7 linked regions of the Macaca fascicularis genome follow. The protein of the gene in region 7 binds, or shares a complex with, the protein of the main gene of each other region. Links are inferred from orthologs where the notes say so. Each region holds a gene or a part of one and is shown on either strand. Other genes may lie near its edges.

Region 1 (4,093 bases), on a different chromosome or scaffold from region 7:
GGCACGTGCCTATTGCGCCTGTAATCCCAGCTACTCCAGAGGCTGAGGCAGGAGAATCACTTGAACCTGGGAGGCGGAGGTTGCAGTGAGCCAAGATCGTGCCTCTGCACTCCAGTCTGGGCAACAGAGCAAGACTCCGTCTCCAAAAAAATAAAAATAAAAAATAAAAGATTCTCTTGTCTCAGCCTCCAGAGTAGCTGGGACTACAGATGCACACCTCCACACCTGGCTAATTTTTTGTAGAGATGGCAGGGTCTCACCATGTTGCCCAGGCTGGTCTCAAACCCCTGTTCTCAAGAGATCCTCCTGCCTCAGCCTCCCAAAGTGCTGGGATTATAGGAAGAGCCACTGCACCTGGCCTTGCTTACTTTTAAATAAGCAGCCACCAGTGATTTTCTCAAGATGTTAGCAAAAATGCAGAAAACAGTTTGCCTGTTCCTTAGTTTGGAGATTTTGTCTTTAACAATTTTCCCCAGTTCCCCAGTTTCTTCCTGCCTAGAGGTCTTCCCTTATGCCTGACCTGTCTTCACTCCTGCTGCAGGCAAACCAATCCTAGCAAAGGTCACTTTTTTGTTTGTTTGAGACAGAGTCTTCCTCTGTCGCTCAGGCTGGAGTGCAGTGGTGGGATCTCGGTTCACTGCAAGCTCCGCTTCGCAGGTACAAACGATTCTCCTGCCTCAGCCTCCCGAGTACCTGGGGCTGCAGGCGCACGCCACCACACCCGGCTAATTTTTATATTTTTAGTAGAGACAGGGTTTAGCCATCTTGGCCAGGCTGGCCTCGAACTCCTGACCTCAAGTGATCTGCCCGTCTTGGCTTCCCAAAGTGCTGGGATTACAGGCGTGAGCCACCGCGCCCGGCCAACACGGCTAATATGCTTCATGAGCATGGACCCCATCTTCCAATCTGAAATAGAATTTCGGTTGTCCCTTACTTTGTAGAGTTTTTGGCTCTATAAAACTTCCATACTTTATTTATTATGTATCCTGTCCCTCCCCCACCGCAAAATGTAAATTTGGTAAGGAACTTTTGATTTGTCCTCTGCTAGATCCCAGCGACGGAAAGCAATGAGCACACATTAGGCCTCCATTAAATTGATTTCACTTGTTGAATGAATGCGTTAGGGAAGCACTCACGAACTGACCATCAGGGGGCGTCAGAGAAACTGGATAGAGGCGGAAATGAAGAAAAAAGAATTACTCCGAACTTTCAGGCATGGTTCCGCGAGGTTTGAACTCGCTCGGCCACCGTAGTGCTTAGAGGCCGGAAAAAGTGCAGCCCCTTCCGGGCTTTGCGGTACCGGACGACGGCTTTGGGATGTCGGAAATTGATCCTAGAGGTCCCAAGGTAGCCGCCTTGCGAAGCTGAGGCTCCAGCCGAGGGCTCCAGGCCTCCGACCGGCCCAGCAGTGAACGGGGCTGCCCGACGCTTCAGGGCTGGGAGCAGGGAGCGTGGGTCGCCATGGCGACGCCGGCGGGGCTGGAGCGCTGGGTTCAGGACGAGCTGCACTCGGTGTTGGGGCTGAGCGAGCGGCACGTCGCCCAGTTCCTGATCGGTACTGCACAGCGCTGCACGTCGGCCGAGGAGTTCGTGCAGCGCCTACGAGACACTGATACTTTGGATCTCAGTGGACCGGCCCGGGACTTCGCCCTGAGACTCTGGAACAAGGTGTCGGCAGGGTGGGGAGGGGTCCTGTGATTTGTCCCGATGAGGCTGGCCTAACGGTCCATCGAGGAGTTAAGAAAGCTCAGTTCACAAGCACTTATTCTTTGTCCGTTGTCGCCTAGGTACTGTGCTAGCTGCTGGACGCCCAGCTCAGTGGAGAAGATTGAGGAGGGCTTAGGTGTGTCGGGTTAAACGCAATAGAACGGTGTTTTTCGAACTCTTAACATGCATCCAGGGCCCTTGTTAAAATGCAGATTGCGATTCAGTAGGGATCTTAGTTTCTGCATTTCTTTCTTTTTCTTTCTTTCTTTCCTTTTTTTTTTTTTTTTTTTTTTGAGAGACACAGCCTCGCTCGCCCTGTCGCCCAGGCTGGAGTGCGGTCATAAGATCACGGCTCACTACAGCGTCGATCTCCCTGGCTGAAGCGACCCTCCCATCTCATCTTCCCCAGTAGCTGGGACTATGGGCATGCGCCACCACCCCCGGCTAATATCTTTTATTTTTATTTTTATTTTTAGAGACGAGGCCTTGGTGTGTTGCGCAGGCTGGTCTCTAACTCCTCAGCTCAAGCAGTCCTCCTCTCTCAGCCCCGCAAAGTGCTGGGATTACAGGCGTGAGCCACCTTGCCCGTCCCCCCTCAGCTTCTGAACTTCCTTTCAGCCGTTTAATTAACAGAGGAGGCCCGGTGCAGTGGCTCACACCTGTAATCCCAGCACCCCAGAAGGCTGAGGCAGGAGGATCATTTGAGCCCAGGAGTTCGAGACCAGCCTGGGCAACATAGTGAAACCTCCCTACAAAAAATTTAAAAATTAATTGGGCGTTGTAGTGTGCACCTGTGTTTCCAGCTACTTAGGAGCCTGAGGTGGGAGGATCACTTGAGCCCAAGAGGGACAGAGTGAAACCCTGTCTGTAAAAAAAGCCAAAAAGCTGTGGGCCCCATTCAGGATGATAAACATGGGGTGAAGCCATGAGGAAGACAGAATGAAGGCTGGTTAGCTGGTTTAAAACTAAGTAATTGTGCCCGGGTGCGGTGGCTCACGCCTGTAATCCCAGCACTTTGGGAGGCCCAGGCAACTGGATCATGAGGTCAGGAGTTTGAGACCAACCTGGCCAACATGGTGAAACCTCATCTCTACTAAAAATACAGAAATTAGTCAGGTGTGGTGGCAGGCGCCTGTAATCCCAGCTACTTGGGAGGCTGAGGCAGGAGAATTGCTTGAACCTAGGAGGTGGAGGTTGAAGTGAGCCGAGATCACACCATTGCACTCCAGCTCCGGGTGACAGACCAAGACTCCATCTCGGCGGGCGGGGGGAGACTAAGTAATTGCTTAAATTAGGAACAGAGCTAGAGCTAAGTGGGAGGGCAGAGATCAGGAGTTGCTCAGACCTCCTTATCTTCCCCTCTACTGACAGGTACCACGAAAGGCAGTGGTAGAAAAGCCAGCGCGGGCAGCAGAGCGAGAGGCCCGAGCCCTGCTGGAGAAGAACCGATCTTATAGGTTGTTGGAAGACAGTGAAGAGAGCAGTGAGGAGACTGTGAGTAGGGCTGGAAGCAGCCTCCAGAAGAAACGTAAAAAGCGGAAACACCTCAGGAAGAAGCGTGAGGAAGAGGAGGAAGAAGAGGAGGAAGAGGCTTCTGAGAAAGGGAAGAAGAAAACAGGGTAAGTCAGAAGCAGGGCGAGGGAGGATGGGGCAGGCTGAAGTGTGCTCAATGCCCTTATTTAATCCCCTGGATGGGCTGCAGGGGGAGTAAACAGCAGACAGAGAAGCCAGAGTCAGAAGATGAGTGGGAACGGACAGAGCGTGAGCGCCTTCAGGACCTGGAGGAGCGTGATGCCTTTGCTGAGAGGGTTCGACAGCGGGACAAGGATCGGACTCGAAATGTCCTGGAGCGGTCAGACAAGAAGGTGAACAGGAGCAGCACGTTCTGTAAATCCCCAAGATCCCAGGGTGAAATGTGAGGTTGGCTGTGATTGCAGAGATGGTGATCTCTGGGAAGACAAGGGGCTTTCTCTAGTGAGATGTTCCCCTCTGTGGGGAGAGATGAGGTGAGAGAAGCCCTGTGCATCCTGTGGCTAAGGCAACTCTACTGTACCTGCAATCATACAGATCCCTCACTGAGAGGGGACATTTTTTGTGTTAGGGTACATCTGAATGATCCTTGTGATTCTAAAGAGGAGCAGCTGTCAGTGTGGGGGCTCTTTGGCCTCACACCCCTCTATTCTTGTTTTTTTTTTTTCTAGGCTTATGAAGAAGCTCAGAAGCGCCTCAAGATGGCCGAGGAAGACCGGAAGGCCATGGTGAGTCCCAGGGCCCAGGGACCCAAGATCAGAAGACAAAAGGGAAGACCGTCTGATAGAGTGGTTACGTATAGGGAGAGAGAATACAGAGGAAGCACGGTGTGGATGCTGATGGAGTGGTCAGGTCT
Region 2 (4,001 bases), on a different chromosome or scaffold from region 7:
CACACACGTGGGCGCGCGCGCGCGCGGAGGGGCGCCCGCTAGTGTGAAAAGCAGAAGGGCGAACCTGGGCCTTATCCTAATAGCTCTCATTTAATTCACCCAGTGCTTTTCAAAGGCAGATATTTTACTGATAAGGAAACAAGGCAAACAGGTGAGGTGGTCCAAGGTCCCACGCGCTACAGCTCTCTCTCTGGTATAAGGAAATACACTAGGCATGAAGAAGCAAACGGATGGCAAGAAGGGACAATGGTAAACTTTCCCATAGATTCTCTTAAGCTGATTGAGGGAGGGCAAGGGGATCAGGAATCCATTCTCTCAACAGATAGCCCTTCAGCCATTTTTCTGAGCCACCCTCGGAATCGCAGCTGCCATCAGATGTGGATGTAATACAGTGAGCAGTTACCAAACTCAACCGTTTGCTGAGTGAATGAAGGAACCAGAGTAGGCAAAGTGGGAAACCAACTCTCCTGGGAAACCAGCACCGTGTTAGGCCCTGGCGTGCCCCCAGGGCGCCTGCAGGGGTGCCACGGGCATGACGCGGCCCACCTTCCCCAGGCACCGCAGCGGAGAGAAGGCTCTTCAGAGCGGCCCCCAGAGGAGCCTTCACGGGCATCGCCGCACCTCCACCGGCAGCTCCACCCCAACCCTGGTCGCTGGGAATTCTGCCCGACCCTAGGCCGGCGCGAGCGTGGGCAGCGAGGAACCAGCTGAGAAGCAGGATCAAAGAGCTCGGGAGTTGGAGACAAAGAAAAACTGGGGGACAGAGGCAAAAACTCGGATCCGAAAGGGGGTCTGTCCATCAGGGCACGCCGGAAGAGTGGCGCTCGAGCTGACGGCGAGAGCTGGCGGGCCGGGGCGCCGAGGCTCAGGGCTGCTTCGGCAATTCGCGGGGGTGACTTGCACCCCGGGAGGCGAGAGCGCCTGGGAAGTCCAGCGAGGCTTACCTAACTTTCCCGCCCGCGGAAGGGAAGCGGGGAACTACTGCCTCCCACCATCAGGTACGACAGGAGGCCCAGGCCCACGCGCAGACGCAGGGTTGTGGGGCGGACACCCACGGCCGAACAGCCAGTCGCAGAAAGGGAGGGGCGGGCAAATGGGGCAGCCCCACCTAGCCGCTCGCGTTCATTCCTCCCGCGGCTTTCCAGGTTTGGGGTAGGCGGGAGCGGTGGGCTTAGAAGCCGGAAGTGGATTGACGTAGCCCGGAAGGGGAATACTTCCCAGTTACAGTGTTGATGTTTTCAGGCTCCTGCTGCTCCTGTTGCGGCTAGGGGAACTGTCGTGGGGAAGGATGGTGTGCGAAAAATGTGAGTTAAGGGGCTGCTTCTGCGGGAGGAGGAGGCTGGGATAATCTAACTGAGCCCTCCCGGGAACTTTGCCTTCTCTTTGTTTTTTTCGCCCACAGGTCTCTGATTCTAGCCGCTGTCTTTCTACCCTACCCTTTGACCATTTTTGCACCTCCCCAACGACCATACAGTCCTATGTATTTTGTACTCAGAATGGTCTCAGTTCTGCACCTCCCTCTCTATTTCCATTGCCTTCCCCCAGCCCCAGATCTCATCGGCTCCCCTCCCATATAAAAATGTTCAGTTAAACCCCAGCGACACCTTTCCCTCTTGGCAATTCCTGTCCTTTCCTTTTTATTCGTGTAACAAGTATTGTACTCCTGCCAAATGTTAGACACTGGAACCAAAGACTTAGGACTTTGCCTTATTCATTCTCATTAGTCATTATGCCAGGATATGGCGTAGAGTAAACCCAGAGATGTTTGAATTGAACATCAACGTAAGTGCAAATTATTATTTCCCTAATTTAAATCCTTTAATAAACTCTCAGTGTGCAGAGAATAATTTGGGGATTCTATATTTGGAACCTGACGTTCAGTACCCTCCACACTAAGGCGCTAACTTATTTTTCCAGCTTCATTTTCACTGACCCTCATCCTCTTCACACTTTGACCAAACAAAATACTCTTTGTGCCCATGTGTACTCTAAGCTTTCTATGCCTTTCCTCAGAATGTGTCCTTTATCTAGTTTGCGTTCATCCTCTTTACTCCTTTTTGTTCACAGTCCTGTTGCCACATATTCAAATCCTCTCTCTTGCCTTCTCTCCAAACTTTGTTTTCTTGGATTTCCTTAGCCAGGGTTATTTTTTCCTGCCTGGAATTTCTCCTAGTACTTTAGTTCTCAATTATTATATCTTTTATTTTTTAGCTTACATTTTGGTTGAATGGTTCTTTTTGGGGAGACGGTCTGTGATCCCTCTGAGAATCTGATGAAAACTGTAGCCTCTTGCCAGGAAAAAAAACTGAAAATATAAAAGGTTTGTGTACAACTCCACCTTGTTCACATATCTCTTAAGATCCACCTGGGGAACCCAGGTTACAGATTGCTGTTAAAGAAATTAGTATACTATAATCTCATTAAAATTTTGTCTGATTCATCACTTTTTCTCAGCACTTTCTATAGTTTATACATCATAGATGCTTAGTAAATATTTATGGAACAAATAGACTTATTGGATTTTTTAAAAGTATAAACAAACAGTGAAAGCTTATTATAAGCCATCTTATTATCCTGCGAATTTTACCGACGGTCAGTCATTCATTGCCCACAGTTAATATGAGTCTCAGTTGACTGGCTGCTTTCTCAGCATTAACAGGCTCCTATGGTAATAGCATTGATAGTCGATACCATTGTGAGCCTTAGGCACAATGTAATGCACTTATGAAATAGTAAATTTTAATTTTCCTTTTACTATCTTGTTCTAACAGGTGAAAAGAAACTTGGTACTGTTATCACTCCAGATACATGGAAAGATGGTGCTAGGAATACCACAGGTATTTCTTCTTTTAGAAAATAGGAATTTAACCAAATACTTACTGTGAATTATATTTTAGCTTTTACATTATTTGTACAATGAAATGTTGTATGTTCAAAGTATTTTATCTATTAAATATTAAAGAATACTGGGTCCCCAAGTGATTTAATATCTTTTATTTAGTTCTCAGTTACTTGTATGGGTTCCCAATATCAGGAGATAGCAAAATTATTAAATGATTGTCAAGTGGTGACAATATCACAGTATTTGATTATCACAATATTTGATTTGATTCAGCTTATTTAGAGTCTGTTTTTAATTTCCCCACTCTTCTGAGGAGAAATTTTTTTAAATCTTCTGATTTTTATATTCTTGAATAAATAAATGCTTTAACCCATTTTACCTTCATTATCATTAAATCTTTATAATGAAGTATTTACCTTCATTATTATTAAATACATATAGTAAAGTATGTTTTCAAAGCGTAGACAAATAAACATTTTCATTATATTGAAGGTCTATGACACTGAAGTAGTGGCTTCTAGATTTTACACTATATAGAGTAAATATAGACCCATTCCTAAAGTACTCCCTTGAGTCTGAGAAATAAAATGATTGTATTTTATACAAATTTTTACTGTTTCCCTAATAAATGTTTTCTTTTTAAGCAGTGTCTTAATAGCCTACTAAATGAGGATTTAAAAATTAGATACAGACTACTATTTTGGTAGAAAGTCAAAGAATGAACTTCTTAATGTTTTATGTTAAATGTATAGAAATAACCCACTAAAATATCTTTTATTCTGATACAGAAAGTGGTGGGAGAAAGCTGAATGAAAATAAAGCTTTGACTTCAAAAAAAGCAAGGTGGGTAAGAGCATCCATAGACAGATCATATAAATTTCCTTTCTTTTAGTATTAAGTCTGCTGGAGTGAATTTGATGTGCATCATTCCATTTGCAATAAAACATAAAGGTAGGTGGTTCATAGCACTCAGAACCAAGCTATCTGTTACAATCCTGCTGGTTTTACCTTATTCCTCCTTGGCTGTATCAATATATGAAGATATTAGTGTTATTCTCTTACAGTTTCACCAGAAAACATGACTTGTATTTTATCTCCTTCTTAATTATCCTATGAATCAGAGACAGCAGGGAAATGTGGAAAGATGGTAAGCTTTGGA
Region 3 (2,318 bases), on a different chromosome or scaffold from region 7:
TTAAAAAGTCTACACTTCAGTACAGACTGACTTTTTCCCCAAATATTTTCAATCGGGTCGGTTGAATCCACAAAACCCACTGAATGGAAGGGCCAAGTAGGGTGCAGTGAGGCCTTGGAGGAAGGATATCAAAATAAGTGGCTAGAGAGGAAGGAGGAGCTTGAGGTGGAAGCCGGAATGTGTGGGAATTGGTGCTGTACTTGCTCACCAAGCACCCTGGTTAGAGCTGAAATAACTCTTTTATGCCACAGACTCCTAAGAGACATAGCTGGGACCAGAACTTGTGCCTGCCGACTTCTGGGAAATCCATCCCTGGTTGTGAAGGGATGGCTGTGCTACCATGATAGCTTTGGAAAACAGGGAGAGTTTATTTTCGGGGCTGCTTGTAGTCCAGTCCTACTTGGGTTTCCCATTTCCCATCAGCCCCAAGCCACCCACGGATGCTCCCCACCTCCCAGACATCACCCTCCACTAGGTCCCCAGATCACTTTTAAAACGCGACCAGGGGCCTGGCGCAGTGGCTCACGCCTGTAATCCCAGCATTTTGGAAGTCCGAGGAGGGAGGATCACGAAATCAGGAGTTCGAGATCAGCCAGGCAAAGACAGTGAAACCCCATCTCTACTAAAAATACAAAAAAAAAAAAAAAAAAAAAAAAAAAAAAATTGGCCTGGCGTGGTGGTGTGCGCCTGTAATCCCAGCTACTGGAGAGGCTGAGGCAGGAGAATCGCGTGAACCCAGGAGGCGTTAAGTTGCAGTGAATCGAGATCGCGCCATTACACTGCAGTCCCGGTAACAGTGCGAGACTCTGTCTCAAACAACAAAACGAGACCAGGAGTTCCAGAAGCCTACGAGCACGAACTCCCAAGACCACAAGTCCCAGCATGCAAGGCTCCCTGTTGGAAAAGGGCTTCCCATAGCCACCAAGTGGACCATCATGCAAAGCTCTCTGACGGGGCGGGGCTCTCTACAGGGGCGACACACTTGTGGCGTCGCCTCGGCAACTCCAATTCCGTGACAGAATGTGCTTCCGCTTCCGCCTTTGAGCCCTATGAGCGAGACTTACGCTACTTAGTCGTCGTGACGCCATTCTTCTGCGACGGCGCGGGCCGGGAGCTTCCGCACGGTGGCCTCACTCCCGCGTGAAACGCCAGAGCGGCGATTTGTTGTCTGCGTCCTCTGTCCTGGGAACTAAGGGGAAAGCGGCGAGATGACGGACCGCTACACCATCCACAGCCAGCTGGAGCACCTGCAGTCCAAGTACATCGGCACGGGCCACGCCGACACCACCAAGTGGGAGTGGCTGGTGAACCAACACCGCGACTCGTACTGCTCCTACATGGGCCACTTCGACCTTCTCAACTACTTCGCCATTGCAGAGAATGAGAGCAAAGCGCGAGTCCGCTTCAATTTGATGGAGAAGATGCTTCAGCCTTGTGGACCGCCAGCCGACAAGCCCGAGGAGAACTGAGACTCTGCCTTACCACCACTGTGCGGGGCACCTCTCCCAGTGTTCCTCAGGTTGGCCAATCCCTTCGACTATTTCTGCCTCCAAAGGACCGGCTCTCCATGGCTCCTGCGTCTGGTACTTCCGCGTACAGAAGTGCTTGCCCGGGGAATCCCGCCTGACCTGCCTTCATGTGAACCCTTTGGAATAGCACTGGGAGACCAGCAGAACCCCTGAGAACTGTGTTGGTGAAGAGGGCCTAGAGCCGGCAAGCGTTTGAGAAGAGGGCGTGGCGCTGGAATGAGATGGGATTTGGCGTCTCATTTTTGGCTAATTGATTGTCATTGGCTTTTTCCATAAAGTTTAGAAATCATTCACTCTCTTGGTGTGAACTTCCTGTGTTAGGGTGGAGGGCTCCTGAAAGACCCGAGCGGGAAATGGGTCGGGGGAGGGAGTGCATGCCAGTGTCCATGATCAGGTACTTAAATCCACCCTGTCTACCATTATAATTAATTCCCCGACTGCCACTTCTCCCAAGAGCGTTATTTTCAGGCCCACAATGCCTTCAGTATTGAAGTTTGTGGTTATTGTATCCCATTTTCTTTTTCTCCCGTTTTAAAAGTCTTTGCAGTCTTTGCTGTCATTGTCCTCCTTAGCCTCTTTAAAATGCATCCTTTCTTTTTCTTGGGAATTTGTGGCCATGTCTCCAGAAATGACAAGCTGGCAAGTGAGTTCATCCTTTCTATATTCAACAAATATTTGTTGAGCTCTATGTGACAGGCATTTTCCCATGGTCTTGAGGCTTACATTATGCTGGTGGTGGAGAAAGGAGGTCAAACACTGTAGACGTAATAAGTAAATGTTAGAAGATGC
Region 4 (4,174 bases), on a different chromosome or scaffold from region 7:
GGAGGAATTCTGTTCAGGGATTACTAGGCAGAATGAATTAATAAGGGAACAGAGATACATTTGTAAATAGTTTTTTGTTGTTTTTTTGTTTTGGTTTGGTTTTTTTGAAGACAGGGTCTCACTCTGTAGCCCTGGCTGGAGTGCAGTGGTGCCATCACGGCTCACTGCAGCCTCCAACTCCTGGGCTCAAGTGATCCTCCTATCTCTGCTGGGACCACAGGCACGAGCCACCAGCCCCTGCAAAATTTAATTTTTGTAGAGACAGAGTCTTGCTATGTTGGGCAGGTTGGTCTGGAACTCCTGGCTTCAAGCGTTTTTCCTGCCTTGGCCTCCCAAAGGGCCGGAATTACAGGCTGCAGCCTCCGTGTTCGGCTGTAAATAGCTACTTTTGACAGCATAACGGTCTCTGGTCAGGTGTGATTACATTCTTGGGAGGAGAAGAAAGAAACAATTATTCCTTTTGGTAGTCTGTATCTTAGGCAGATAAAGACCTGCGCTTTGGGAGAGATGGTGGGCACCGGGAAGGAACATTGAGGCTTCTTCAGTTCGGCATGTCAGTGCGCCATATTTTGGGGTTTCGATTTCTGAGCCCCAACAGCATTGCAAAAAGTTCAGGAAATAGAAGAGGAAAAGCTAATGATTTGCCCACGGGTTATCATCTCTGATTGCATTTCCATGTCTTCCTCCCTTCTATTTCCAAATGTAAATGTAATTATGGTTTGCGCACAATTTTGTATCCTGCTTTGTCGTTAACAAGTCAGGGTTTTTAAAGTTTGTAAATGGTTTACTAATGGCCACATAACACCCATTAATTTGGCTAACTTCCCTACTGCTGGGTATTTACATTGTTTCCACGTTTTGTAATTACCAGTAATGTGGCAACAAACAGTCTTGAGAGGTTTGCTTTTTCCCAGTTTTTTGTTGTTATTGTTGTTTGTTTGTTTTTGAGACATCTCGCTCTGTCGCCCAGGCTGGAGTGCAGTGGTGCGATCTGCGCTCACTGCAACCTGCGCCTCCCGGGTTCAAGCGATTATCTTGCCTCATTCTCCCGAGTAGCTGGGATTACAGGCGCGCGCCACCACACCTGGCTAATTTTTGTATTTTTAGTAGAGACGAGGTTTTGCCATGTTGGCCAGGCTGTTCTCGAACTCTTGACTTCAGGTGATCCGCCAGCCTCGGCCTCCCAAAGTTCTGGGACTACAGGCGAGAGTCACCACGCCCAGCCAGAAGTTTGTTTTTGAAACTTGAAACTCCCGCCACCCAAGCCGGTCACTGTGGCTACTCCCACTAGGGAGTAGTCACGTGTTTAATATCTGCCGCGAGGATTTCTGGGAGGTTGGGCACCCCGGAAGCGGAAGTCCAGGAGTCAAACTCGTCATTTCCTTCAGCTAGAGGAGCTCAACGGATCTGTTTTCTTTCGCTCAGCCAAAATCACAGAATGAAGGCGGTGAAGAGCGAACGGGAGCGAGGGAGCCGGCGAAGACACCGGGACGGGGACATGGTGCTGCCGGCGGGGGTGGTGGTGAAGCAGGAGCGTCTCAGCCCAGAAGTCGCACCTCCCGCCCACCGCCGTCCGGACCACTCCGGCGGTAGCCCGTCTCCGCCGACCAGCGAGCCGGGCCGCCCGGGCCACCGCGGGAACCGAGCCCGAGGAGTTAGCCGGTAAGTGGGGGAGCAGCCCAGGATGGACGTTGGGTTGGGCTCATTCAGAAAGGCGGGCAGGGCTAGCATCCGAAACAGGTTTTGAATGCTGGGCGCAGCAGCCCGGACTTAATCCTGAGGGACTGTTGAGAGTGATCCAGTCGTGCTTGTGTTATGCTTGCTCTGTCACTTGCCTTATAGCTCGGTGTTCAACGCCTAATGACACACCGGCAGGATCCCACTCCTTCATTCTTGTGTCCCCAGCACTTCGAAGAGTGTAGCCCAACAGATAGCACTGATAATCTGTTAAATTGGAATGAGATTTTCCCCATCCCGCCCACAAATGGAGTGTGGGCCTTGTCTTTCCAGTTACCTGCCAGAAAGGTTTTCACATCGAGGTCTAGGCGAGCTACCTAACAGAAACTGGAAAAATAAAAATAAAAAAAGTTACTTCTTGCTAGACTCATTTATTTATGCATTCATTCACCATAGTTTTACTGAGTGCCTATTTTAAGTGTGAAAGACTGCCCTAGGTATTGGGGCTGCAAGGGCGATTCAGTTAGATGATCTTCACCAGTGCCAAATTGGCCGTGCTCTAACCCTGAGACAGATGATTAAAAAAAAAAAAAAGTTTCAATAACAAGTATTATTGATAGGTTATAACAGTAATGTGATAGAGATTGGAGAGAAGAGGGAGGAGGCCTCTTTAAAGAGGTGCCATTTGAGTCCAGACCTGAGTGATAGGAATGATTCAACCTCTTAAAGATCCAGGCAGAGGAAACAACATCTGCAAAGAACTTGAAGTAGAATGAATTATGATTGAAATGGGAAAAAGCCAGTGTCGGTGGAGTATAGTGGTCAAGAAGGTGGGTGGTAGGAATGAGATGGCATAGGGAGGAAGTAGAACCACAGGATGGAGGGATTGTTCCTGATGCTAGGGGTGTTGGTAGTGAGGGATAAAGAATCAAGGGTGACTTCCGGATGGTGATGCCAGTTAGCAAGATGGCAAGGAGTAGGAGAGGAAAGGTTTTTGAAGGGTTGGAAATTAAGAGTTTTGTTACCTAAGTGAGAAGGTTCAGTAGACAGTTGTCTATGTGAGTATGGAATGCAAGGGAGACGTTAGAGCTAGGAAAATGAACCTCGTGACTCCTTTAATGTGATTGGCAGATACCTTCACAAAAGCAGTGTTTGTGTTAGTAGGTAAGCCTGATACTGGAAGCTAATTTTTATGGGGGAAGGGAAATTGCGATAAAATCCTGTGTACCATGCTCTGTATAGGTCCCCACCCAAAAAGAAAAACAAGTCCTCAGGGAGAAGAAGCAAGTCTCCTCGGAGTAAGAGAAACCGAAGTCCTCACTACTCAACAGTCAAAGTGAAGCAGGTAAGTGGATTGGGGTGTTTTGATGTTGGGTCCAAATTGAGAGCCTTTTCCTATCACAGCTAAAGAGGGCTGTGTGTGTGTGTATTGTGTGTGTGCGCGTGTGTGCACGCACACTCGCCTACATCTCTACCTGTACCTCCAATGGGCTTTTCTGAAAACTGGGTGTATTTCTTTTTTCTGCTTGTTTGCTTAAATTAAACTTTTTATTTTGAGATTATTATTGGTTCACATATGGTTGTCAGAAATAATTCAGGGAGATATACTCTTCCTGGTTTCTCCCAGTGGTAGCATCTATTCATAATAGAACTGTGGTACAATATCATCATCAGAATATTGACATCGATATAGTCAAGATAACATTTCCTTCACCACAAGGAATACCTCATGTTGTCCTTTTGTAGCCACACACACTTATCTCCCACTTTTATCCTTCCTTAACTTCTGTCAACTTCTAATCTGTTCTTCATTTCTATAATTCTGTCATTTCAAGAATGTTATGTAAGTGGAATCATACAGTATGTAACCTTTAGGATTGTCTTTTCTCACTCAGCAGAATCCTTTGGAGATTGATTCAGGTTGCAGCTCTCAGTAGTTTGTTCTATTTCATTGCTGAGTGGTATCCATATGGCATGGATTTAGCCACTTACTCATTAAAGAACATCTGGGTTGTTTCCATTTTTTGGCTATTACACATAAAGCTGCTATATACACATTTGTGTACAGGTTTTTATGTGAACATAAGAGTTCATTTCTCTGGAGTGCAATTGCTGGATTGTACGGTAGTTGCAGGTTTAATTCTTTTAAGAAATTGCCAGACTGTTTTCCAGAGTGGCTGTATTAGTTTCCTAGGGCCACCATAATGAAATACCATAGAGTAGGTGGCTTAAACAACAGAAATTCATTTTCCTGTAGTTCTGGGGCTAAAAGTCAAAAATTAGGGTGTTAGCAGGTTTGGATTCTCCTGAAAAAAATCCTCTTTCCTTGGCTTGCAGATGGCTACCTCTTTGCTGTATCCTTAAATGATCTTTTTTCTGTCCTGGTGTCTTTTCTCAGCCATATTGGATTAGGGCCCTGCCCTCATTTTTTAACTTAATCAGCTCTTTAAAGACCTTATCTCCAAAAACAGTTATTAATACATTCTGAGGTACTTGG
Region 5 (3,500 bases), on a different chromosome or scaffold from region 7:
ATTTGCAAAACAAGATAATTGTTTTTCAAAACCAGACAACAGGTTCAAAAATACTTCTTTTCACACCCCTAAGTGATGCTGTTGGGAACAATGGCTGTTACAAGGCCATTGCAGGCACATTTCCAGCAAGTTCTGGTTATCATTATTCTCATTTTATCTTCTTTCTTTTTTCTCTCTCATCAGCTTTTTGCTTTCTTCCCTCCTTCTTTTATTCACTGGATTCCGAGGATCATAGATTTCAAATGTATCTGAGTCTTGCATGCTTGCATCTTTCACTTTTCTGCTTTTATCCTCAAACTGAAGTACATGTGACATCCTAAAGAGGGAGAGAGATAGTTCAGTGATTCTTGCATGGGAACTTAAAGTAGAAATTCTATACTCTACTATCATTGACATAATGAACCATAAGCGTACGGAACACCAAGATGGGTTTGTTGTTTACTGGTGCTTACACCACATGGAAACCAACTTCTCAGAAAACTCTTAAATTTGAAAAACATGTCTGGAGTTTGTTCTGCTGGTTTATATTTCTAGTAGAGAATCTCTTTGCCTCAGTCTTTACTTGAGGTTTCTTTCCTGATGGGAGGTTAAAAGAGTTCTATACAGAAGTGTTCCTCAAAGTAAACTCAGAGGACACTGTCTGCTTCCTTTAAAGAACACATTCCTTTAGCCAGAGTGAGTCAGGTTGCAGAGCAAAACTCAAGACAATAAGCCAGCCCTGTCTGATTTTTAAAAATTTCAACAGTTACATGGGTCAAGAGTAGGGAATACATTAAGATAATTTAAAAATGATGTTCAAATGGTGTTATGACTCTCTTTCCTGGGGAATTGCTGGTTTAAAAAATATTTTCTTTATACAAAAGGAAACTAAACTTTTGACATAACTCTATGGACTAATTTCTTCTATTGTTGATTACAACAAATCTAACCAATCCTGCTCTCTTCATTAAAAGCTTACTGGTCTTAAGGTATCAGCATATGCTGGAATCCTGAGAGGTCATAAGCTAGCTATCTTTAGGATCAGTTAAATATGTTAGTAATTAGCTGTGCCCCATATGAGGTGCCAGCAATAAACAGAGAAGTCAAAAGAGCAGACTTCAGAACAGTTGAATGAATTTGGAAAGAGAAAAGTTCAATTTTTTTTTTTTTTTGAGATGGTGTCTCACTTTGTTGCCCAGGCTGGAGTGCAGTGGCATGATCTCGGCTCACTGCAACCTCCACCTCCTGGGTTCAAGTGATTCTCCTGCCTCAGCCTCCCAAGTAGCTGGGACTACAGAGATGTGCCACCATGCCTGGCTCATTTTTTGTATTTTTAGTAGAGACGGGGTTTCACCATGCTGACCAGGCTGGTCTCGAACTTCTGATCTTGTGATCTGCCTGCCTTGGCCTCCCAAAGTGCTGGGATTACAGGTGTGAGCCACTGCGCCTGGCGAGAAGTTCAATTTTTATAAAAATAAAACCAAAGTCTTAAGTCTTTTCCTACCGTTATACCCTATACACTTTTCTTCATCACAGCAGAAACGGTTAAACTGTAGGATTAATACTTCTTACATGCCTGTTGTAACTTTCAGATGAAACCCTAATATCTTTTCCCCCATATAAGCAGAGATCTGGGTAGTAGGTAGGCAGTAGTGAAGATCCCTCACTCTTTTCTCTCTACAGCAGCACAAATAATGACTGAAATTTACTTGTGTGGCAAATTCCCATGGGTATACCTAGATTTTTGAAGAATCCTAAAAAGATTTTAGGAGGGAAACAAAATGTCACAATTCTAGTGATATCATCGTTACTAAGGGTTTAGTAGCTGCTGCTCACCAGGGCTGGTGAGTTGAGGCTTATGTACCATTTCTACCTTCTTTTGTCTCACCTGAGAAAACTTACTGGAACGCAATAAGTAGAAATGATATATATGGATGATCTAGAATCCACTTTAATTTACTGAATAAGTCACATTCACATTTTTATACTTCATTATTATTATTATTATTATTTTTGAGATGAGATCTTGCTATGTTCGATGGTCTCGAACTCCTGGGCTCAAGTGAACACCTTGCCTCAGCCTCCCAAGGAGCTGGGATGACAAGCATGTGCCACCATGCTTGGAACTATATTATTAATGATACATTATTTGTATCAAATTTCATAACTGATCTCAATACCTGAACATGTGGAGTTGCTGACTTTTTATACTTCCATTCCTTTAGCGGACACCCTTATTTAGAAAATGTATTGTACAGTCGTTGCAAAATCTAATTTTCTAGTGTTTTCAATTTCCTACAGCTTTTAGGTATTAGCTTCTGAAAGTAAGACAATCTCTAACTCCCAGAAAAACGCTGACTGTTCGACAGCCATGGTATTAAGTAAGCCACTAGAACCAGTTGGAAAAATAATTAAACCAGATTTATGCAATTAATGCTATCTCGCCAAGGTCTAAATAATCAGTGACAACTCACTTCAGTAAATACACCACTGAAAGCCAATTAACCAGTGATAGCTACATGCTTTTGAAATTTGGCCCATCAGTTGCAGACTCGCTCCAGTGATTGTGCTTCTGAAAGCCAGCCAGTCAACAAGAGTCTCTTTCGAATAATGGGGCTTTTGAGGCTGACAGCTGCCCCTAAACAATTCCTGACCCCAAAACACTATGTAAGATTTGCAGCCTGCTTTGCTTGGAGACACTGTGCCTAAAAAGCACAGCGCCTCTTTACTTAAGTAATAAATTAAGCCTTTTTTCGTCCAGTTATTGAGAGGTAGCCTTTTTCTTCAACACTTCTTACAATCTTTGTTGCATCCCCCATAATATGCACCATTTAAAATTGTAATATTACCACTGATGAGAAGTAGGTGCAGAATGGTGGGACTCCTGTTAAAGGTCCTTTACCACACATCAGGGGTCGTCTAGACCCCTCTGCTGCACTTCAGTACATGCTTAGCAGCAGCTTTCCAAGTGCTTACGGCCTGGCTGTGTTGATGTCTAAACCAACACCAGTGTAGCTGGAATCATATGCCCTTTAAAACAATTTCATCAATACTCCTGGATTGATATGAGAAAACAAACTTACTGTCTTATTAATACCTCTTCATATACATATTCTTCTATTTAAAAAATTATCCTGTTCTCTGCCCAGAAATACAGATGGTTTTTTGTAATATCCATTTCTAGTAGGGATTCTCCATGTTTCAAAAATGACTTGATCAGAATTTGTCAATTAAGAATATAAAACGGCACCTTTTTCCTTTCTATGCCATGAGAGAATTTTGCAACTATTGGATTTAGTCGGCTCTGCTATAAAAAATGATCTCTAGACACATGAATAAGAGCACAAAGTCCACAAGAAGAAACAGATTTCCTTACAAATTTGAAAAAAAACAGAGAGCTGTAAGTTAAAGGAGCTGTCTTTTTCAACTGTTTGTTTCACACACCACTGCACTAAGCAAGTCCAACATTTTGATTAATAACAAACCTAAACCCAGAGGAAAGAAAGGGCTATCAGCTTACA
Region 6 (3,970 bases), about 110 Mb from region 7:
AATGAGACCATTTCACTGAAGTCTCCCCATTCCCGTACTCAATACACATAAAAACACACACAGTGAGCCTGGCTGTTAGTGACAGGGCAGAGCTAGTGGCAGAGGTGGGGAGAGAAATTGAATTGATGGTGTGGGACAGCGAGAGGTGGATGCTAGGCAGGCAAGAATCCCTGCCAGTATCTGCCTCTGTCCCCAAAGACCACGGGGAGTTGGGGTGGGGAGTGGGCGGCAAGGTGGGCCCCCAGTGCAGGTGCGGCTGAGGGAAAAGGGGCCTGAGTTTATTTTTGAGACTAAAAGACACAAATACTGTCACCAGAAACATTGTTCCTTTTTCCCAGTAATCATTTATTGGGCGCCTCTTGAACGGCAGGTGATGCGAGACTGAAAAAGATCAAGTCCCTGCTCACATTTTTGGGATGCAGGTAGGAAGAAAGGGCAAGAAAGACTTATCAAACGGTGGAGATTCGAATGTATTATGGGAACTCTAAGAAAGGAAAGGAAAGCGGGAGAAAGCTTAGTGAAGACGACATTTGAGCCGGCTTGGAAGGTGGAAAAGGGGGCTTTAGTGTCGCCCTTCCCCCAGGTCGGCAGCTGGAGCTCAGCCCGGGCGGGCCCGCTCCTCTCCTGGCTCGGATCCCCTTTCAGCCCATTCATCCGGGCCTGGGCCGGGGGTGGGCGGGCAGACAATCAGACACTGTTTTATCCCGGGCATTGGCTCCAGCCTCCCGCTTGGCGCCCGCAACGCGGAGCCGCCGGGGAAATGAGTCTCTCGGGACTCCCTGGGAGCGTAAGAGTCCGAGGCTCTGACCGGGGAGCCGGGCCGGAAGGCTTGACAGCCTGCGCTCCCGCAGGTGAGGCGCAGAAAACACTCCCTCCGGGCAGGGCCAGCCTTCCCCGCAGCCCCGCCCTCCGGCCCGCCGCCGGCCTTCTGGGCCGTAGCCTGGCGCAGGGCCCGCAGAGACCGAGACCTGCGCACTACAACTCCCAGGAGGCCTAGCGACCAGACGGCCGAGGGGCCACTGAAGAAAGGGGCGTCTGCGGCGAATCCCGTCGCCTAGCGTACCGCAGCGGGTGGGCCTGCGTGCGCGTCGCCTCCCAACCAGAGAGGACGTGGCGTACGGCGCCGCCGGAAGTTCCGGAAAGTGGGCCCAGAGGCCGGCCCGAGCTTCCGGGTTGGTCGCGCGCCTTGCTGCGGCCAAGATGGCGACCGAGCATCCCGAGCCTCCCAAAGCGGAATTGCAGCTGCCGCCGCCGCCACCTCCAGGCCACTATGGCGCCTGGGCTGCCCAGGAGCTTCAGGCCAAGTTGGCAGAGATCGGAGCTCCGATCCAGGGTGAGGAACACAGAAAGTCGAGGGACCTTTACGGGCCTGCGGAGAAGCGGAGCCTGGTTACCCGGGAGACCCGGGCGCGAGGGGCGGAGGCGGGCAGCTGGGGTCTGACCTGGCCGGGCTTGCCTGCTCCATTGATCGTGTACTTTGCCCCGCAGGTAATCGCGAGGAGCTGGTGGAGCGGCTGCAGACCTACACCCGCCAGGTAGGTGTTGGCGGCGGGACGTCAGGATAGGCCGAGCTTCTCCAGGAGACCTTATATACCCCATCACGGCTCGGTCTTCATTCTTTCTTTATCTTGGCACAGCAAGGCGGAGGCTTGCCCTTTTTGGCTTGTTCTTGCCTTTGCCAGCTTAGTTGTAATTTCTTGTATCCATCTTGGTCCTCTTCAGTGCCCAGCCGGAGCGCTGGCAGACAGGCACTGGATACGTTTTGTTAAATGAATTGGGAGAGATCGTCGATTAGTGAAACAGCTAGTTTTGGACTGACCTAGAGTCCTTTCTCTTTTGCAGACTGGCATCGTGCTGAATCGGCCGGTTTTGAGAGGGGAAGATGGGGACAAAGCCGCTCCACCTCCCATGTCAGCGCAGGTAGGGAGGTTCTTCCATTTTTTAAGATTCTATCTGCTGATCCTTTTGTAGTTCATGAGCATGATGATTCGGTGTTCGCGTGCATGTGTGAGACGTCACACCCTTGCACATCTCGCCTGACCTGAGTGGGGAATAGAAAGATTCCATCTGTTCAGGGTAGCCCTTCCTCTTAATTGCAGTGTACTTGAGATGCAACTGACTGACTGGGCAAGGAGGTACTGCCATGACAGAATTGTGAGCTCTTCAGTTCTCTCTTTGATGCTGATACTTGCCTCCTTTTCCACTGTCTGCTTCTCCAAATTCTACCTGTCATTCAAGATTCAGCTTGTGGCCAGGTGCAGTGGCACATGCCCGTAATCCCACCACTTTGGGATGCTTAGATGGGAGGATCACTTGAAGCCAGGGTTCGAGACCAGCCTGGGCAACACAGTGAGACTCTTGTTACTACAAAAAATTTTTAAAAATTAGCTGGGCACGGCAGCACATGCCTATAAAGTCCAAGCTACTCTCTAAGCTGAGGCTCAAGGATTGCTTGAGCCCTGAGGTTCAAGGCTGCAATGAGCTCTGGTTGCGCCACTGTACTCCATGTACTCCATCCTGGGTGACAGAATGAGACTTTACTTCTCTGAAAAAAAAAGAAAAAAAAAGGTTGGGGGGTGATGGGGCAGGGGCTGGGAGATTGTCAGGAAAAATAGCAAATGCACGCCAGAATTAATACCTAGGCAGTGGGTTGATAGGTGCAGCAAACCACCATGGCACACATTTACCAATGTAACAAACCTGCACATCCTGCACGTGTGCCCCAGAACTTACAATAAAATAAAATAAAATAAAAAAATAGGGGGAAAAAAAAGAGGCAGGGGATGGTGGCTCATGTCTGTAATCTCAGCACTTTGGGAGGCCAAGGCGGGTGAATCGCCTGTGATCAGGAGTTTGAAACCAGCCTGGCCAACATGGTGAAACTGTCTCTACTAAAAATACAAAAATTAGCTGGGCGTGGTGGCACATGTCTGTAATCCCAGCTACTTGGGAGGCTGAGGCAGGAGAATCTCTTGAACCCAGGAGGCGGAGGTTGCAGTGAGCCAGTGAGCCGAGATCAGGCCACTGCACTCCAGCCTGGGCGATAGAGCAAGACTGTCTCAAAAAAAAAAAAAAAAAAGAGAGAGAGGCAGGGCATGGTGGCTCACGCCTGTAATCCCAGCACTTTGGGAGGCCGAGGCGGGCAATCACTTGAGGTCATGAGTTCGAGACCAGCCTGGCCAACATAGTGAAACCTCGTCTTTCCTAAAAATACAAAAATTAGCCGGGCATCGTGGCAGGCGCCTGTAATCCCAGCTACTTGGGAGGCTGAAGCACGAGAATTGCTTGAACCTGGAAAGCAAAGGTTGCAGTGAGCTGAGATTGCACCATTGCGTTCCAGCCTGGGTGACAGACTCTATCTCAAAAAAAAACAAACAAACAAACAAAAAAAAACAAAAAAAAAAAAACAGCTTGAATACAAGGAAGCCCGACTTGTCCCTACCCAGCTGGAAGCAATCACCCTCTTCTTTGCCTGCCCCAGGAACAGTTCCCATGTTCTTTTGTGAGACATTGAGAGCTCCCTGATTTGATTTCATACTCCTTGCATTTAGCAGTCATTGGGGTTTGCATTGCCCTGGTACAGTGGTTCCTGTTTATTTAAGTCCTCTCAATTTCCATGTTGCTTCTGATCCAGGATTTGCTTCTTTTTCTCTAAAGCAGTGGCTCTGACCTAGGATCTATTGATCTCTGTGTGTAGAATGAGGAGTCCCTAGATGGCCTCAGAGGTGTCTTTGAGTCTCCTGGAATTGTATGCAGAGTCTGTATTCAGGATATCTTTCTGGAGAGAGTGGATAGCTTATTGTGGTTGGTGCCGGAAGTTAACATTCTCATATCTTTATAGGGCTATGGAGCATTCTCTCTTACGAATTAGGAACTATGTGTCATTTGACTTAGAATCCCAGCTCCTGACTCAAAGTAGATCCCCCAGATATGTGCAGATGAGTAGATAAATGTTTCCTAATTTTATGAT
Region 7 (4,112 bases):
AATTTGATTTTGGTAATCATTACACAATGTATAATTATATCCAATCATCACATTGTACACCTTGAATATATATAATTTTTGTCAAATAACCTTAATAAAGCTGGGAAGAAAACGATAAAAAAGTGACAATCTAACATATGATAAGGTAAAAAGATATTTCAAGAAATTTGGATGACCTCTTGCACCCCACTTTGCTAGCCTCTACTCCCAAGAGTCATGTTCTGGCTATGTGAAGTTGAGCAACTTCTTAAATCTTGCCAAGCTTCAGTTCTTATCTGTAAAATGTGATATTGAAACGATTTGAGAATTGTGAGGGTTAAATGAGATAATTCAGGTAAAGCTCTAAAACCCCTGCCAAGAATAAAGTCTTTTCTTCCCCCCCAAAACTTGAGTATTAGAATTCATTCTCTCTGGTTTCTCTCTTTTGCTATGCTAAAAATAGATCCAGGTCCTTTTCATTGTCAAGATGTTAGTTTCCTTCAAAAGATAACTGCGAGCTACTTGTAATATAACACCAGAAGAGTTATACAGGTCTTAGAAACTACGTTTTTCATAGTAATTATGTTGGTTTGCACTTCCTGGCTTCCCTTCTCAGACGGTAGGTACCTGGAAGCCTAGTGGAGCAGATTCTCCCCACTTGAAGATACTTATAAAAATAACGAACATAGTTCCGATGACCATATGCCCACCATATGCCCAACACTGCTCTGCGCACTTCACACAGTAGTGTTATCTCAGCCTGTGACCATTCCGAGTTAGGTGCCGGGATTCTCCCCGCTTTGTGATAACTTGCCCGAGGTAGTACAGCTAGCCAGCTATGGAACCAGCGCCTGTAGTCCCAGCTACTCGGGAGGCTGAGGCAGGAGAGTGGCGAGAACCCGGGAGGCGGAGCTTGCAGTGAGCTGAGATCCGGCCACTGCACTTCAGCCTGGGCGGCAGAGCGAGACTCCGTCTCAAAAAAAAAACAAAAAACAAAAAACAAACTCGGCTACGCTGCAGCCTGTGGCCCTCCACTTTCTTGCCCGTGCTCTGCAGTTTAGGTAACCTCTGGGGGCGGGGTCTTTTGGGTCAGGTTGTGGCCTCACAGAACAGCGCTTGCTGCGGTTGGATGGATGGGTGGGTGGGTGGATGAAGAGAAGAAACCTGGTGGCGTCGTCCCAGGGCTGTGGAGCGCCCCGAAGGTGAGCGCATCCCCCGCGAGGGCACCTGCCAGCCGCGCAGTTCTCAGCACTCTCCGCCACTTCCGGCCCTGGCCCCGCCCCCTCGGGTGGCTGGCGTCCGTTACGCGTTGAGGAATTTTGTCCCCAGCGCCGACCCGTCTCTGCCCTCGCCGCTGCCATGGCGGCAGCTCCGCCGCTTTCCAAGGCCGAGTATCTGAAGCGTTACTTGTCCGGGGCAGATGCCGGCGTCGACCGGGGGTCTGAGTCCGGTCGCAAGCGTCGCAAAAAGCGGCCGAAGCCTGGCGGGGCCGGCGGCAAGGGGTGAGTTGGTACCGGCCGGGGCGGGGCCTGCAACGACTCGCCACCCCTCACCCTTCCCAACTCCGCCCTCGGTCGCCTGGCGACTCCTTCCCTCTTGGCGGGTCTCCCGGCTTCTCCGCCGACCCCTGCTCATGCCCAGGGCCCCACTCACATCGCTTGAGGCCCCGCATTGCCTCTGCCGCCCCGCTTACACCTCGAGCCTCTGAGCAGTAGCGTCAGTGCGTTAGAGCCGGGCTGTAACTTTGATTACTCTTTTCCCGCCTTGGTAGACTTCCGTCCTCTCCCATGGAGAATGAATATTGCGCCCCGAGAATAATGGAGCGGATTCAAAGCCTCTGTGCTTGAATCTTTAGGGCCCGGTACCTGCCTGTGGGGATTCCCAAATCCCAAGGACTTGGTTCTGAATCAGAGACCTTGGATCACCTCCTGTTACTCTTAGTAATAGTCCTACTAACAAGAGAAGTTAACATTTACATAATTATACTTTTCTTGCCAGGCAACATTATAAGAAATTTAAACATAAGTTTGTTTAAGCCTTACAACAGTACCATGAACTGGGTATTATTTTCAAATGGGAAAACTTTGTGGCCCAATATAGTGGGCCCTACCAAATCGTTTTCCACCCAGAACCACAGAATGTGACATTTAGAAATAGGGTCTTTGGAGATGTAATCAGTTAAGATGAAGTCATACTTGATTAAGGTGGGTGCCAAATACAAAATGACTGTTTTCCTTTTAAAAAGAGGGAAGTATGGATACAGACACAGCAACAAAGGAAAAACGACCATGTCTAGATGAAGGCTGAGATTGGATTGGATTTATGTTGCCAAAAGCCAAGGTATGCCTGGGGCTACCAGAAGCTGGGAGAGGCAAGGAAAGATCCTTCCCTACCGACTTTGCAGGGAGGATGGCCTTGCAGACACCTGGATTTCAGATTGCTAGCTTCCAGAACTGTGAGAGTTTCTGTTGTTTTATGCCACGCAATTTTGTGGTACTTTGTTACAGTAACCCTAAGGCACTAAGATACCCAGTGAAGTCACATTGTTCTAAAGAACTAGTCCATGTTGTTTTCTGGTTTGGTGCTTGCCTTATTATTGTCCTCGTCTTTCTGCTTCGCTGACTTGTGTGGATCCTTTGGAGGCAGTGCCATGTGATGAAAGTAGCTTGAGTGTTGGAGCAGCACTGGTCAGAGTTCGAATCCTAGCTGTGCCACTTTATAGGCTGTGTACCCTTGGGCAAAGTGTTTCATCTCACTGAACTGCAGTTTCCTTATCTTTAAAATGGGAATAATACTGAATAATAATGCTTTTATGAAGTGGTGGTTGTGATTAGAGGGATTGCATTAAGTGACCCTGGCTTTTTGAATAACTTCACATCATGGCAGTCATGGTTATTATTGGGGCTCAACTATAGTTTATCCATGTAACAAGCATTTATTGAATACACTGTATTCCAGTTACTGAGGATGCCTCTGTGAACAAAAAGAAACATAGTCCCTGTTCTTGTGGAGCTTATAGTTTAGTGGGAATACAGGCTTTAAGCAACTAATTACACAACTAATTGGTGTATTTTCTTTATGATAAATGCAATGAAAGTATTCCAAGAGTTTTTAACAAGAGTTCTTAGTCTTTTTTTTTTTTTTTTTTTTTTGAGACAGAGTCTCACTCTGTCCCCCAGGCTGGAGTGCAGTGGCATGATCTCAGCTCACTGCAAGCTCCAACTACAGGGTTCACGCCATTCTCCTGCCTCAGCCTCCCAAGTAGCTGGGACTACAGGCACCCGCCACCACACCTGGCTAATTTTTTGTATTTTTAGTAGAGACAGGGTTTCACCATGTTAGCCAGGTTGGTCTCGATCTCCTGACCTCATGATCCACCTGCCTCAGCCTCCAAGTGTTGGGATTACAGGCGTGAGCCACTGGGCCCGGCCGGGTCCGTGGTCTTGAGTGAGTGTGAGATAGTGGGGGAATCCGGGAAGCAGTCAAGAAAAGTTTGCCAGACTGGGTGCGATGGCTCTCGCCTGTAATCCCAGCACTTTGGGAGGCCGAGGCGGGCGGATCATGAGGTCAGGAGATCAAGACCATCCTGGCTAACACAGTGAAACCCCATCTGTACTAAAAAAATACAAAAAATTAGCCGGGCATAGTGGCAGGCGCCTGTAGTCCCAGCTACTCGGGAGGCTGAGGCAGGAGAATGGCACGATCCCGGGAGGCGGAGCTTGCAGTGAGCTGAGATTGTGCCACTGCACTCCAACCTGGGCGACAGAGCAAGACTCCGTCTCAAAAAAAAAAAAAAAAAAAGTTTGCCAAAGGAAGTTAAATTTGTGTTAGGACCTGAAAAATGAGGAAGAGTTTCCTGGAATGAGGAAGAGTTTCCTAGCACTTTGGGAGGCCAAGGCGGGTGGATTGCTTGCATATAGGAGTTTGGGACCAGTCTGGGCAACATGGTTAAACCCTGTTTCTACAAAAAATTAAAAAAAAAAAAAGTCAGGCACAGTGGCACATGCCTGTAGTCTCAGCTACTTGGGAGACTGAGTGGAGAGAATAACTTAACCCCAGGAAGTCAAAGCTGCAGGGAGCCATGATGGTGCCCCTGCACTCCAGCCTGGGCAACAGTGTGAGACCCTGTCTCA

What was found.
Region 1: BUD13 (region 7) and DHX16 share a complex: the UniProt entries of both Homo sapiens proteins name them as parts of the minor spliceosome. The link is inferred for Macaca fascicularis from reciprocal best matches to the Homo sapiens genes BUD13 and DHX16.
Region 2: BUD13 (region 7) and CRIPT share a complex: the UniProt entries of both Homo sapiens proteins name them as parts of the minor spliceosome. The link is inferred for Macaca fascicularis from reciprocal best matches to the Homo sapiens genes BUD13 and CRIPT.
Region 3: BUD13 (region 7) and SF3B5 share a complex: the UniProt entries of both Homo sapiens proteins name them as parts of the minor spliceosome. The link is inferred for Macaca fascicularis from reciprocal best matches to the Homo sapiens genes BUD13 and SF3B5.
Region 4: BUD13 (region 7) and SNIP1 share a complex: the UniProt entries of both Homo sapiens proteins name them as parts of the minor spliceosome. The link is inferred for Macaca fascicularis from reciprocal best matches to the Homo sapiens genes BUD13 and SNIP1.
Region 5: BUD13 (region 7) and CWC27 share a complex: the UniProt entries of both Homo sapiens proteins name them as parts of the activated spliceosome. The link is inferred for Macaca fascicularis from reciprocal best matches to the Homo sapiens genes BUD13 and CWC27.
Region 6: BUD13 (region 7) and SF3B2 share a complex: the UniProt entries of both Homo sapiens proteins name them as parts of the minor spliceosome. The link is inferred for Macaca fascicularis from reciprocal best matches to the Homo sapiens genes BUD13 and SF3B2.

Annotation. Positions count from the first base shown.
Region 1 is NC_088378.1:141,982,531-141,986,623, forward strand, and holds the start of DHX16 (pre-mRNA-splicing factor ATP-dependent RNA helicase DHX16), read left to right. Parts: upstream 1-1,293; 5' UTR 1,294-1,461; coding exon 1,462-1,668; intron 1,669-1,787; exon of another isoform or gene 1,788-1,843; intron 1,844-3,078; coding exon 3,079-3,326; intron 3,327-3,409; coding exon 3,410-3,572; intron 3,573-3,908; coding exon 3,909-3,965; intron 3,966-4,093. UniProt on the Homo sapiens protein: Required for pre-mRNA splicing as a component of the spliceosome. Contributes to pre-mRNA splicing after spliceosome formation and prior to the first transesterification reaction.
Region 2 is NC_088387.1:75,424,960-75,428,960, reverse strand, and holds the start of CRIPT (cysteine-rich PDZ-binding protein), read left to right. Parts: upstream 1-1,201; 5' UTR 1,202-1,288; coding exon 1,289-1,304; intron 1,305-2,771; coding exon 2,772-2,837; intron 2,838-3,630; coding exon 3,631-3,685; intron 3,686-4,001. UniProt on the Homo sapiens protein: As a component of the minor spliceosome, involved in the splicing of U12-type introns in pre-mRNAs. Involved in the cytoskeletal anchoring of DLG4 in excitatory synapses.
Region 3 is NC_088378.1:48,298,912-48,301,229, reverse strand, and holds SF3B5 (splicing factor 3B subunit 5), read left to right. Parts: upstream 1-1,132; 5' UTR 1,133-1,208; coding exon 1,209-1,469; 3' UTR 1,470-1,818; downstream 1,819-2,318. UniProt on the Homo sapiens protein: Component of the 17S U2 SnRNP complex of the spliceosome, a large ribonucleoprotein complex that removes introns from transcribed pre-mRNAs.
Region 4 is NC_088375.1:197,372,398-197,376,571, forward strand, and holds the start of SNIP1 (smad nuclear-interacting protein 1), read left to right. Parts: upstream 1-1,374; 5' UTR 1,375-1,438; coding exon 1,439-1,662; intron 1,663-2,919; coding exon 2,920-3,022; intron 3,023-4,174. UniProt on the Homo sapiens protein: Required for pre-mRNA splicing as component of the spliceosome. As a component of the minor spliceosome, involved in the splicing of U12-type introns in pre-mRNAs. Down-regulates NF-kappa-B signaling by competing with RELA for CREBBP/EP300 binding.
Region 5 is NC_088380.1:70,698,151-70,701,650, reverse strand, and holds part of CWC27 (spliceosome-associated protein CWC27 homolog), read right to left. Parts: intron 317-3,500; coding exon 154-316; 3' UTR 1-153. UniProt on the Homo sapiens protein: As part of the spliceosome, plays a role in pre-mRNA splicing. Probable inactive PPIase with no peptidyl-prolyl cis-trans isomerase activity. As a component of the minor spliceosome, involved in the splicing of U12-type introns in pre-mRNAs.
Region 6 is NC_088388.1:8,338,592-8,342,561, reverse strand, and holds the start of SF3B2 (splicing factor 3B subunit 2), read left to right. Parts: upstream 1-1,170; 5' UTR 1,171-1,200; coding exon 1,201-1,333; intron 1,334-1,488; coding exon 1,489-1,535; intron 1,536-1,842; coding exon 1,843-1,920; intron 1,921-1,959; exon of another isoform or gene 1,960-2,042; intron 2,043-3,970. UniProt on the Homo sapiens protein: Component of the 17S U2 SnRNP complex of the spliceosome, a large ribonucleoprotein complex that removes introns from transcribed pre-mRNAs.
Region 7 is NC_088388.1:115,624,520-115,628,631, reverse strand, and holds the start of BUD13 (BUD13 homolog), read left to right. Parts: upstream 1-1,312; 5' UTR 1,313-1,338; coding exon 1,339-1,481; intron 1,482-2,224; exon of another isoform or gene 2,225-2,275; coding exon of another isoform or gene 2,276-2,319; intron 2,320-4,112. UniProt on the Homo sapiens protein: Involved in pre-mRNA splicing as component of the activated spliceosome. As a component of the minor spliceosome, involved in the splicing of U12-type introns in pre-mRNAs.